Linked DNA regions of Schizosaccharomyces pombe. Changing the gene in region 1 together with any one later gene gives a genetic interaction. Each region holds a gene or a part of one and is shown in the gene's direction. Other genes may lie near its edges.

Region 1 (5,898 bases):
TCAAGTTGGAGATGAAATCGTGTAAGTTAATGATTAGTTTATTCTAGTTTTATGCATCGTATTTCATCAATCATCTGTCTGATCAATCGTTAACTTACTGTAGTTTTTATATTCTCATCCCACCCCTTACCAAAACCTAAGAATTATAATCATTTACAAAAATATGCTGGTAAATTATATTCGATATTGTTTCAAATTGATTGATGGAATGAGTGTAACCAATTTTACTTCGGGCTTATTTTAAAGTGTTAGTGATTATATTTATATTTATTCTATTTTGGATTATTGTTTTTTTCATTGGCTTGATTGAAAAATAAACAATTTTATTCAATATTCTTTACCGTCAATCGTTATTTAGTATCGCTTTCCTACTGCCTTTCTGCTTCTTGACATTATGCGATACCAACATAAACTTTACAAACAATTGCACCTCTTGTCACTTTTGTTTTAGAAATGTGTAGCTTGAACGATGCCTGCCCGGTTACACAGCATAGATTACATTGTATTTTACAACGGATTTACGTATTCTAGCACAAGTTAAATAATGTTTTGCAAGGTTGATTACAACACTTAAGACGTATTGTAGTACGCCTTGCGTTTTGTTCTATGTTTATTTTTCTCTGTTTGACTTTTTAAATAAACAATTTCATATAAATCTGGCTATTTGCGAGGCGCCGCAAAGAGTGAACGGGAAAACGCTGTATGGAAAATATTGTTATTATGCAACGTATAATTTATTAAGCAGTATAATAATTATTTTTGTTGGAGATAAATAGTATAATAGTGCGCGGTTTCGCAAGTGCAGATTTAATTTCGCTGCTCGTTTATGACCTTTTTTATTTTCAAGTAACATTTTGACATATGCAGATAAACTTTAGTTGTCTATACATGCGTCAGTTGGCCAAGTTACTCATCCGCGATACTTCAGCGTGATTTGTTACACAATAAGAGTAAAATTGTAGAGTAGAATTCGTATTTTCCTATTTATTTATATCTATTTTATCGGTCATTTTATCTACTCGCTTTTTTTTTAATATCATATTTTTAGCAATGCCATTTACAGCTTTTTTTCACCGCCAAGATAAGTCTTGTATTCAAACAGCGTTGCTTATCGAAGCTCCTACTTTTTGAATGCTGAAATGCAGTACAAACGTTCAGTAATAGTACCAAATAAATCTTTGTACGTTGGATACTCTAGTACTGTACCATCAGGCTACGTTACCAAATGATGAATGTGCATTCAGAAATATTATAGCCACGATGCTAAGCTCGTACTTTAGGTGAAAGACATGTTTCATTAAACATATCAGGCCCTCTTCACTATCGAAATTCTTATGTCTTTGGACCAATTGATAAGGTTTACAATCCTGTATCATTAGGTACAGTGGGTTAACTAGCTAGTGTACTAGATGACATGCAATCAACAGCGCTTTTAAAGAAATATTTAAAAATGACATTTCTTTATTACTATAAAAAAATAAAAAGAATTGTATAAAGTCTCGGTTGTTATCCTCTTAAATTAATTAGCTCAATGGCAGATATTACAATATACGAAAAATTCAGTGACCAATCTGTTGGGTACGATTAGGGCTGACCTCATCAAATTATAGTCTCGTTTGTTCAAGCTAAGTAAAAAATTAGGCTTGCTTTACAGCGAAAATAATATATATTCATATATAACAACGGTTTATTGTTTAAAGGCTAGAAGTAATGAAAATCGTCTTTTATAAAAGTCTAAATAGTATGAAATTTGATATTAAGTAAGCGAGTGGCCTTAAACGCTCTATATTCTGGATCTGCAACTCATGGGGTGAGACTCGGTTGTGTCTATGTAACTAACCTTGCCACCACATTGTGCATGAAAGCAAATGATTCATTTAAACGTAAAGTGTTTCTCGTTTTATTTGACATGAAAGGAGCTCTTGAATTCTTCCTAAGTTGTTCATGAGGAGAAATTGTCCACTGAAAAAGAACAAGTTCAAACATTCGCTCATGACTTTTCTCCTGCCCGTAATCGAAATACCAAATTCCTTCTGTGTTCGGTAGTCAATACCTTGGCCGTTATCTCATCAATTAACAAGTTTCCCCCACCAATGTGATTATAGGCCTGGCAATTCCTTTGACAGAACGTGTCAACTGGATATTTGTGTAATTTCGTCGTTCTCGTTAATCCCATACAGTTTTTCATTGCTAATTTAACTCTACATATGGTTGAATTACAAGAGTGCTTGTTTTATGCTCACTACTTCCTTTTTTAAGTAGTATAAAAGATTGACTTCTGTTACACTAGTAATCAAATCCTATAGAAAGAATTTTCAATATTTTTGATTTATTGCCACTTATGTCATATTGAGATAAAATGCCTTAATCCAATCAGGTCTTTTTAGCTAAGTTATAATCAAAGCTTTTTGCTGCCGAGGTATTAATAGCTTACAAGTGAGTACACAACACCCTTTCAATCAATTTAATGGTGCTAAATTTATATAAACATACGATGTATAACAATCGCACAATATTTACAATTCACTATCCTGCTAAAATTGTATAAAAAAAAATAATATAACAGCCCACCTCAAATGTGCTTAATCAGTCTCAGTGAATTTAAAATTGAATAGTTACTTAAAAGGCATGTTTTTTAAGTTGATAAGCGTTAAAACCCAAGTAACAAGCTTTGTTACTCCAATCAAAAAGATAACTAAGGTACCCCGGTCCTCAAGTATAAACCACAGGCATGCACGCATCAGTCCGTGGCTAACTGTATCTTTTGCCACATTTTATGTCGAATACTCTAAAAAAAATATTATAGGAATTTATTACAAGAAAACATTCTCTTGTGGATATTGCCTAATTACTATGGGCTGGAGACAACTTGATATAGACAAAGTCCATTTAGCTTTAATAGTGGCCGGGGGATTTATAACATTTTTCTGCTATTTTTCAGAAGTTTTTCGAAAAAAATTACTAGTTGGAGAAGCTGGTACGTTGAAGATATTGTATAGGGTGGTTTTTGAAAATTAGCAATTGATATAAAATAAGACTAATACTAGTGTGTAGTTCTTGGAAGTATCACTGGATTAATATTTGGGCCTCATGCTGCTAAACTCGTAGACCCTTTTTCCTGGGGTGACCATGGAGATTACTTGACAGTAGAGATTTGTAGAATCGTACTTGATGTGCGTGTGTTTGCTTCTGCAATAGAACTCCCCGGTGCATATTTTCAACATAATTTTCGAAGCATCATTGTAATGCTATTACCAGTTATGGCTTACGGGTGGTTAGTTACAGCTGGATTTGCATATGCATTGTTTCCACAAATTAACTTTTTAGGATCTTTGCTGATCGCAGGATGTATAACTTCTACTGATCCTGTTCTATCAGCATTGATTGTAGGAGAAGGTCCATTAGCTAAAAAGACTCCTGAACGGATTCGGTCTTTATTGATCGCTGAGTCTGGATGTAATGATGGAATGGCGGTTCCTTTTTTCTATTTTGCTATCAAACTTCTTACTGTTAAGCCATCGAGGAATGCAGGGAGGGATTGGGTGCTGCTTGTTGTGTTGTATGAATGTGCATTTGGTATATTTTTTGGGTGTGTAATAGGGTATCTTTTATCGTTCATTTTAAAGCACGCTCAGAAATACCGTTTAATTGATGCTATTAGTTATTATTCCCTTCCGCTAGCGATACCTTTATTATGTTCTGGGATAGGAACTATTATTGGAGTTGATGACCTGTTGATGTCCTTTTTTGCTGGAATATTATTTAACTGGAATGATTTATTTTCCAAAAATATATCTGCTTGTTCTGTACCTGCTTTTATTGATCAGACTTTTAGTTTACTATTTTTTACCTATTATGGTACAATCATTCCCTGGAATAATTTTAATTGGTCTGTTGAAGGCTTGCCTGTTTGGCGTTTAATTGTCTTTAGCATATTGACTCTAGTTTGTCGTCGATTACCGGTTGTATTTTCGGTGAAGCCTTTAGTTCCGGACATTAAGACATGGAAAGAAGCCCTTTTCGTTGGACATTTCGGACCAATAGGGGTTTGCGCAGTTTATATGGCATTTCTTGCAAAATTACTGTTGTCCCCGGATGAAATTGAAAAGAGTATTTATGAATCAACTACAGTATTTTCAACACTTAATGAAATAATTTGGCCGATCATTTCGTTTGTTATCTTATCCTCAATCATTGTTCATGGTTTCAGTATCCATGTATTAGTGATTTGGGGAAAGTTAAAAAGTCTGTATTTAAATCGAAAAGTCACCAAGTCCGATTCCGATTTGGAGTTACAAGTAATAGGGGTTGATAAGTCACAGGAAGATTACGTTTAGGAAAGCTCTTTTAATGTCAATTCGGATTTCCAAATTATTTTCAAATGTATTGTGAATCGCTGTCTCTGGTCAAAAAGATTACTGCACTCATATTTTGAAATTCCTTCTATAGTTGATATATACTATAAGATAAGTGATTCTCAGAATCACAAGGCTAACCACCAACAGGGATGGAGTGTATATTTTTGTTGTACATATATATTATCTACAATAGAGTAATTTTCGGCTTCTATAATTCATTTATTTTCTTACTACTCTAAAAATATTGTATAATTTCTAAAACTGATCAAGATACTGAGAAAAGTACAAATCGTTATTTAATTTGTAATTTATTTTGATGGCTAAAACTTACCAATATTCGTTCGCTTCAAACAATACCAATCTTACGAAACACCTTACGCTTCATCAAAGTCTACTTTGGATCACCTAATATTTTATTATTTGTTGTTGTAATTATACAAACTAATACTATTTTATGTAAGAAACTAAGAAAACGGAAAATCAATAGCTACTTTGTGTATATAAATAGCAATCAAATTAAAACTTGATAAATCTCACCTACTAAAACACATCAACGTACTTCAAAGGGCCTAACTACTATAAGACTTGGTAATATTTAAATAGTGTTTCTATTAGTAGGTAGCTTCAAAGTATGTATAAAGCTTTTGGAAGTAGATGAAGTATTGAATATCTCCTCCTAGATCAGTTATTAACTAAGTACGACTGAACCGGTGCTCCCAATTTAGTTGCAATCTATTTAGATGAGCTAGAATATAATTACACAGTAATCGGTATGGACTGAGTTTTAGCACCAATAAATTCTCACTAAACATAACTTCATCCCAAATATATACATATGTTTTGCAGAGAAACACCCCGCAGTTTATCATATCGTAAATGTCAGCAATATTACAATACGTTATGACTCTACGTTGCGTTATATGCCACATGTTCTATTTGCTCTATCAACTGTAAATAATAAGTTATCAAGATAAATTTATTACCATTTATGGTAAGAAACTATCAGTTAAAATTATAGCTTTTTCAAGCTCTATAAATAGAGATCAATTGAACCTAGTTCCTCAGTTCAGTTATTAGCTATAGGGATATCGGTGATCGATACAAATACTCGTTATTATAATAATTATAATAGTGTTATTTGAACATATTGCATATCGCTGTATTGTAGGTCGCAAGAAAAACTCACCGCAATTCAATGAATCGTTAAACAGATACCAAACTGCGTAGCTGACATAGGGAAGTTTTAAAAAGTACGTAATACTCTAACGATGTAGTAGTTGCAAGTAAAATAGCAACAAAAAAAAACGATGCACTTCAAAGAAGCGCTTACATTTTTAATTACAAGCAAGTTACATTTCAACGCTGGATCATAGAAACTTTAATAGAGATGCAATTATAAACATGTACCTTGAGATAAAAATTAGACCTCAAATCGCCGGCTTTAAGTCTTTTTGAAAGAATTTTCTTTTTGTTTTGTTTTATTAACCTAAGTCGATTTAAAATACTTTTTCTCTCTTTATTTTAAGAAATTACTATAGTC
Region 2 (7,134 bases), 2.8 Mb from region 1:
AGTGGTGGTGAACTAGTAATGATGTATTGGTAAGCAAAGATATCAAATATTTACTAAGAAACCAAGTAAGATCAAAAGAATTGCTTTTACATAAGCCTTTAACTTAAAATTATACATGTATTTGATTTTTATGCATTTATTTAAAATATACCATGGACAGGAAAAAATGAAATTACCAACAAAGTATGCATAATTGGCGTTTCACTCCAGCTACTAAATCCTAGACATTGAATACATAAGAATAATACAATTAGTAAGTTATTTACTTTCCAGTATACTAGTGAGTTAAGTAACCTATTCTTGTGTAGACTTAAACTCTCCAAACTTAGCTAGTGCATCTTCAAAAGATGATTTTCCCTCGACCATAGAAACAAGAGCAGCAATAACTTCATCTTGACTACCACGAACTTGCTTAGTAGAATCACGTTCGCGAAGTGTAATAGTTTCGTTTTGAAGAGTCTCAAAGTCTACAGTCAACCCGAAGGGAGTTCCCAATTCATCGTTACGAGCATAGCGACGGCCAATATTGGCATTAGAATCGTCTATTTTATTAGAAATGCCAAGATTGCGAAGTTTGGCAGACAATTTCTTTACAAAAGGAGCGAACTCAGCATTGCGGCTCAAAGGAACAATGAGGGCCTTAATAGGTGCGATAGAAGCAGGGAAGGACAAAACACCACGGTTTACGTCTTCTGGTCTAGTCCAATAAGCATGTTCCATGAGTACATACAAGATTCTGCCTAATCCAAAGGATGGCTCGATAACATTAGGAGTATAAGTACGAATGTGTTCAGTATGCTTTCTCTTCTCAATTGTGACGAGATCAGATTCTACTGTATGCTCAACACCATTAACATTAACAATAATTTTACCTTCAGCAACAAGTTGAGCACTTTTTTCAACTTTTTCCGATTCCGGCCACGAAATCATAGCTTCCTCAACAGCCTTGGCATCACGTTTGAAACGTGGACCAAATTTTTTGCGATTAACTTCAACCTCGAATTGTTCAACAACAACAGGTTCAGGAAGAGCCTCTTGAACTACTAAAGGAGTCTTGGTAGCTTTACTGTGAACGCTAAGATCATAGGCACTACGATCAGCGCAACCTACACACTCGATCCAGCCGTAAGAGCATTGAATTTCGGCATCCCAGCAATCGCAAGCATAATGAGCCATTTCATTGCTCATATGTTGCCTAAAACGAACACGGTTCATATCAATACCAATTTTCTCCAAGAATAAGCTGATACGGGCCATAAAATAACCTAATGTAGTGTTATCAACAATTCCTTTCTTGACAGCATCACCTATGGGCATTTCCAAAATGTCAGTCTTTCCTTCTAATTGGACACCACGGGGCAACAAACGAAGGGGCATATGAGAAACCTCGTCAAATCTATCATGCTCTTTGTTTTTAGGATCGACAAAGTGTTCGACTTCGGCCATCAAAAACTCACGAACACGAAGCAGGCCACTCCGAGGAGAAATCTCATTACGGAAGGCTTTACCAACCATAGCACTGGCAAAGGGAACTTTGCCGTTATTAAACTCCAATAAACGGCTAAAGTTTAAAAATTGTCCTTGGGCAGTTTCAGGTCGGAGGTAACCTTTCAGACCACCACTGGGACCAATTTGAGTTTCAAACATTAAGTTGAACTGACGAGGGGTTTCAAGCTCACCGTTGGTTGCAGGGTTACGAATGTCATACTTCTTCATGAGCTCACCTAATTGATCTCCATCATAGTTGTCAATTTGGGCAAGAATAAACTCGTATTCCTCAACAGTCTTGTCATCCAGACGAGTCGCACGAATTTCCTTTACCTTCTTCTTACGCTTCTTCTTGTCATCAGATTCTTCAGGCTGGTCATTGGAATTCTGCCCACGAGCTTCCTTGTCACCCTTCAAACGGGCTTCCAAAACCTCTTCAACCAAGTGGTCGGCACGAAAGATTTCACCGGTAGCAGGGTCCTTACACATCCAATCTGCAAACTTATCAACATGCCCACTAGTCTTCAAAACTTCATGAGGAGTAAGCATGGAGCAATCAACCTCCAGCATGCTTTCTTCGATAACAAAGTGCTTTCGCCAAATATCAACCAGATTAGATTGAAGTGCACTACCTGGTGGGCCATAATCATACAATCCACTAATTCCACCATAGATTTGAAAAGAAGGAGAGAAGAAGAATCTCTTCTTCATTAACTCCTCGAACTGAGTTCGATCAAAAGCTGCTGCCTTTGAAACTTCTGTCATTTTTCTACTGAAAATCCGTTTAGCAAAGGCTGTGCAAGAAGAACGAAACGCTTGAAAAGAAATTATGCAAGCAAGGAGCGAAAAGCTTTAAAATGCCTGCTTTTCGCCTGGTTTTCAAATGTTTACGGAAGATAAACTGTTCAAAGCTAGAAATTTTGCTAGTTCGTAAAATTCATAGATAGTGCATTTTGTTAGGCTACATCAATTCATATTATGCGTTGTTATGCGAACTTTTGGACTTTCCTTAATTTAAATACGGTACCTGTAAAAAGTACTTGAACACTCTAAATCTTGTTAACATTTTTTACGGAACAACAACGATTTATGTTAAAGATCGTCAACAATCTCACTTCACTGCCCAAAGCGTACAACATGGTCGAAGTATAGGCTGAAACTTTGAACCGCTTAGAAACTACCTTCTACGGGAAAGAAGACGCGATTTTACGTTGTATTATAAGAGAGGAATCCTCAAGTATTGTTGAAAGGAATCGTCAAAGATTGGGTAAAAATGTCGTTTGTCATTTGTCATAATTCCCTTTTAGAAATTTAGTGGTTTCCTCATCAGTATCGCTTTTACCCGTAGATTTCAAAACTAATTGCTTCTTATCTTGTCCATAGTTAAGGATTTCCGTTAACTTCAAACCAATTTCTCTGTTTCTTGTTCTGTTGTTGGTGGGTTTGGCTGGAAGTATTGACTAAAATAAATGGTCCTAAATTACATTCAAAGATGGTTCAAGTGGGTGATACCAACTTTTGGATTCTTGGCAATTCATTATATTTACATTATATCCTTAACTATCATTGCCTCTATCCTACTTTTTACCGGAGGGACCACCACGAAAATCAAGTATATCGATGCTTTATTCTTAGCTAGCAGCGCAACTACCCAAACAGGCCTTAACAGTGTTGACTTAAATTCTTTATCTATCTGGCAGCAGTTTATCCTGTATGGATTTACTGCTATTACGGTTCCTATATGGATGCACGGAAGTATTTCCTTCATCCGGCTGTATTGGTTTCGACGAAAATTTAAAGACGTTGTTCGTCAAAATCGTACTCGAAAATTTCAGAGAAAGCTCCGTAAAAGCTTAATGAAAAAAAGCGAGGATGACGAAGAACAGGGTGTTCGTGGTAGAAAAATTCGTGTAATGTTACCATACCTACATTCACTAAGGAGTCCAACGTCTCTAAAAAACTTCTCGAGATTTGACACGCATGACAGTACGAACAATCCGTACTTTCCTGACAACCCCCCTTCTCCCAAGGCAGATATATCTAAAGACGAGTATTTTGGAAAGTATCTCCCAAAAAAGTCTGATACGCTAGACATGGATTTGGAAAGTCACAACATGACTTTTCATGACTATGAACCTTCCATTGAAAATAAAAATTACGATTTTGGTAGTTCGCATTCAGCCTCGATGCAAATGTATGAAATGGATGACCTTCATCCCCGACTTCGTAGACAAAGCTCTTTTATTTCCTCCGTTAATCCTTTAGAGGCTGACGACACCCGTGAAACTTTATCTGAAGGCGCCTTAGTTCAGGAATCTCTCCCTATGGCTTATAGTTATTCTGATACTAATTTGGTTGTATCGAGGGATTCATTTACTCTCACTGGGGACGACAATCTTTTCCCAGAAGGTGGTTTAAGGCCTGCCAATACAATAGACGGAATAGTAAGGTCGTCTCTGTCTTCTTCCTCCCTATCTAAAGACACTGAACCATCGACAGTTGACATGCATATTGCTTTCACCGGACTTAATAAGCCCACCATAGAGCGTGAACGTAATCTTAAACTTAGAAAAAAAAGTCGTTTTTATAAAAAATCTTTACGTTCCAGATTTTCGCGAGGACTTCATCGTCCAATACGTTGGACAAAGTCATTCACTTCTAACCGACGAAACTTGACTCTTGAACGAGTCCTTTCTTCTGCCTTTGCTAAAAAACGTGAGCCTTCTATTTCATCAAGACACACTACTATGTCACTTCCCTATTTGTCGTATAATCCTACTGTCGATCGTAATTCTGCTTTCGTTGCTTTGTCTAAAGAACAGCGGGACGAGCTGGGTGGAATTGAATATAGAGCTTTGAAATGCGTCTGCTCCATGGTTACCCTTTATTTTATCATTTTTAATATTGCTGCCTTTGTGACCTTCATTGTTTTTGCTTATACGGCAGTGGGATCGCGAGAGGTAATAGATTCTTATGACTTACGTCGTGGGTGGTGGGCGTTATTCTCGTCTGCTTCTTCATTTAATGATTTGGGGTTTTCTTTAATACCATCGTCTTTTGTGCCAATGAATCGAAACATTTTTCTTTTGTTGATTTCATCTTTATTCATTATCGCAGGTAACACGGGATTCCCTTGTTTTTTTAGAACATTCATTTGGACAACGTATAAGCTATACCCTTTTAGTTTTGAGAAGAAAGAAGCTATGGCATTTCTCCTTGATCATCCTCGACGATGTTTCACTTTATTGTTTCCATCTGGAGCAACCTGGGTCTTGTTTTTTGTTTTGCTGCTGCTTAATGTCATTGATCTGGTATTGTTCATGGTCTTAGATACTGGAAGTAAAGCAGTCGCTAGCCTTCCTAAAGGTATTAGGGTTGTAAATGCAATATTTCAATCAGTTTGTACAAGAACCGCAGGATTCACGAGTGTATCAATTAGTGAACTTCACCCAGCAGTACTGGTCAGTTACATGGTTATGATGTATATTTCTGTTTATCCAGTTGCTATCAACATGAGAAATACCAATGTTTATGAGGAGCGATCTTTGGGTGTTTACAGAACTGAAGATGATGAGGGGAAATCTTTCTTAAAAGATCACCTTACTGAACAATTAAGTTACGATTTATGGTATATTTTTCTAGGGCTATTCATCATATGCATTTGTGAAGGAGGTAAAATCTCCAATCCTCTAGATACCGATTTCAGTATTTTTACTGTCCTTTTTGAAGTAGTCTCTGCTTACGGTACGGTGGGACTTAGTACTGGATTAAGCTCCTCAAATTGTTCACTTTCAGCAAGATTTACTACTATAAGTAAACTAGTTATTATAGCACTTGAACTGCGCGGTAGACATAGAGGTTTACCCAGGGCTGTTGATCGAGCCATCCTTCTTCCTTCTGAAAAAAATAATCTGAAAGAAGAAGAAGATTATCAACGTCGTCACGGATTTTCCATAGACAACGCACGTGGCAGTATTGCAGTTTCTCGAGACTGATATTTCTTATCACGATCATGTATTATATTTGTAAATTATATCATCTAATAAATAGTACGCTCGCTAAATTTCATACTCCTGATCGATACACCGTTTGTCCGCCATTTCTGAGTTGAATTGTTTCCTTCGACGAAAGAATTTGTAAAGCCATTTCTAACGCGTGTTGTGAATATCCATGCTAAAATTATGTTAGACTTAGATTTAATCAATAAACATACCCCATTTACGTATTCTCGTATAAGCATACGGTAACTCGCCTGAAACCCTATAGGTAACCTTTTTCTTAAGCTGGCTTCAATTTTTTTTACTTCCTCAGTAACTTCAGGCGAACTTTGTGTAGCAGCAGCAAGTGTACTGGTCAAAAACAGTCGAATCGCTTCAGTAGCGTGAGCTTCAGAAGCAATAGGTGATAATGACATTTTTGCAAGGGATTCAGTAATTCGTATGATTGCCTCTAATTGACGAACAGTGATTGGAATGGTAGAACGCGAGTTACTGTCCTGCTCTGACTGATGAACACGTTTTCGAATTGCGACAAATTGACTAGATAGCTTTTCAGCTGCCTCTGCATCAAGATTAGGTGCACATTTGCTAAATCCATTAGTAACTAATATTAAATTTGGTATACTTACTGTCTACAATAGTTTATGTACCGCCGAAACTTATCAAAAGGAATTTCTCCAATTGCTAAAGTCTCACTAGATTCTTGTAAATTGGTATGAAGATTAATAACGTGACGGGCAATATTTCGATCCTTTGTTTCATCATGTTCATCCTTAACAATAAATATCATGTCGAATCTTGAAAGAATCGTAGATTGAAAATCAATGTTTTCACCTGGTGTCTTCATATCATCGTATCGGCCAAAAATTGGATTAGCAGCAGCTAAAACGGATGTCCTAGAATTCAATATAGTAGTGATACCGGCTTTAGCTATTGAAATAGTTTGTTGCTCCATTGCTTCGTGAATAGCAACACGATCTTCATCCCTCATTTTATCAAATTCATCAATACAGACAATGCCACCATCAGCAAGAACCATTGCGCCACCTTCAAGGTAAAATTCTCTGGTAACTGAGTCTCTTTGAATAGAAGCAGTCAAACCAGCAGCACTTGAACCTTTACCGGAAGTATAAACAGCGATGGGGGCCAGTCGCTCAACGAATTTCAAAAATTGAGATTTCGCAGTACCAGGATCACCAAGAAGTAAAACATTAATGTCACCACGAAGGCGCATACCATCGGGGAGAATTTTTTTAGAACCTGAAAAAAGTAGGCATGCAATAGCTTTCTTGATGTCTACATTACCATAAATAGCGGGAGATATGCTGTTGGATATAATATCGTACAAATTCGGAGTACGAGAAATTTCAAGGAACTCCTCTTCTTCCTCTTCACTAAATAAAGGAGTAGATTTAGAGCCATCATTTGAATCCATTTGAATACCCACGACTCTGATATAAGGGTTCCGAATGGCCACGGCACCACTAGCTTTAACAGACTTATTTTGAAAAATAGAAAAAATGCCAGTAATAACGCAGCGGGTTCCCGGAGTAATTTGGTTAGTTAAATAGCGATCAGCATTCAATAATATATGACGAGGCAACTCACCGACAGGAACCATATCAGGAGCTTCCTGTAGTTTAAGCAC

Evidence for each region. A genetic interaction does not mean that the proteins touch.
Region 2: of nhe1 (region 1) and trk1, changing one enhances a phenotype caused by changing the other (phenotypic enhancement), as found in Schizosaccharomyces pombe (one study listed by BioGRID).

Annotation. Positions count from the first base shown.
Region 1 is NC_003424.3:49,264-55,161, forward strand, and holds nhe1 (plasma membrane/prospore membrane sodium ion/proton antiporter Nhe1/Sod2), read left to right. Parts: upstream 1-2,725; 5' UTR 2,726-2,853; coding exon 2,854-2,977; exon of another isoform or gene 2,978-3,054; coding exon 3,055-4,337; 3' UTR 4,338-4,595; downstream 4,596-5,898. UniProt on the Schizosaccharomyces pombe protein: Sodium export from cell, takes up external protons in exchange for internal sodium ions. Involved in regulation of pH.
Region 2 is NC_003424.3:2,816,605-2,823,738, reverse strand, and holds trk1 (plasma membrane potassium ion transmembrane transporter Trk1), read left to right. Parts: upstream 1-2,667; 5' UTR 2,668-2,957; coding exon 2,958-5,483; 3' UTR 5,484-5,553; coding exon of another isoform or gene 5,554-5,661; 3' UTR 5,662-5,701; downstream 5,702-7,134. Other genes in the region: glycine--tRNA (Gly) ligase Grs1, read right to left, coding at 295-2,253; MCM complex subunit Mcm5, read right to left, coding at 5,554-5,661, 5,702-6,074, 6,116-7,134. UniProt on the Schizosaccharomyces pombe protein: Together with TRK2, defines the major, high-affinity potassium influx transport system. Involved in maintenance of the proper sodium/potassium ratio in the cell and in regulating the plasma membrane potential.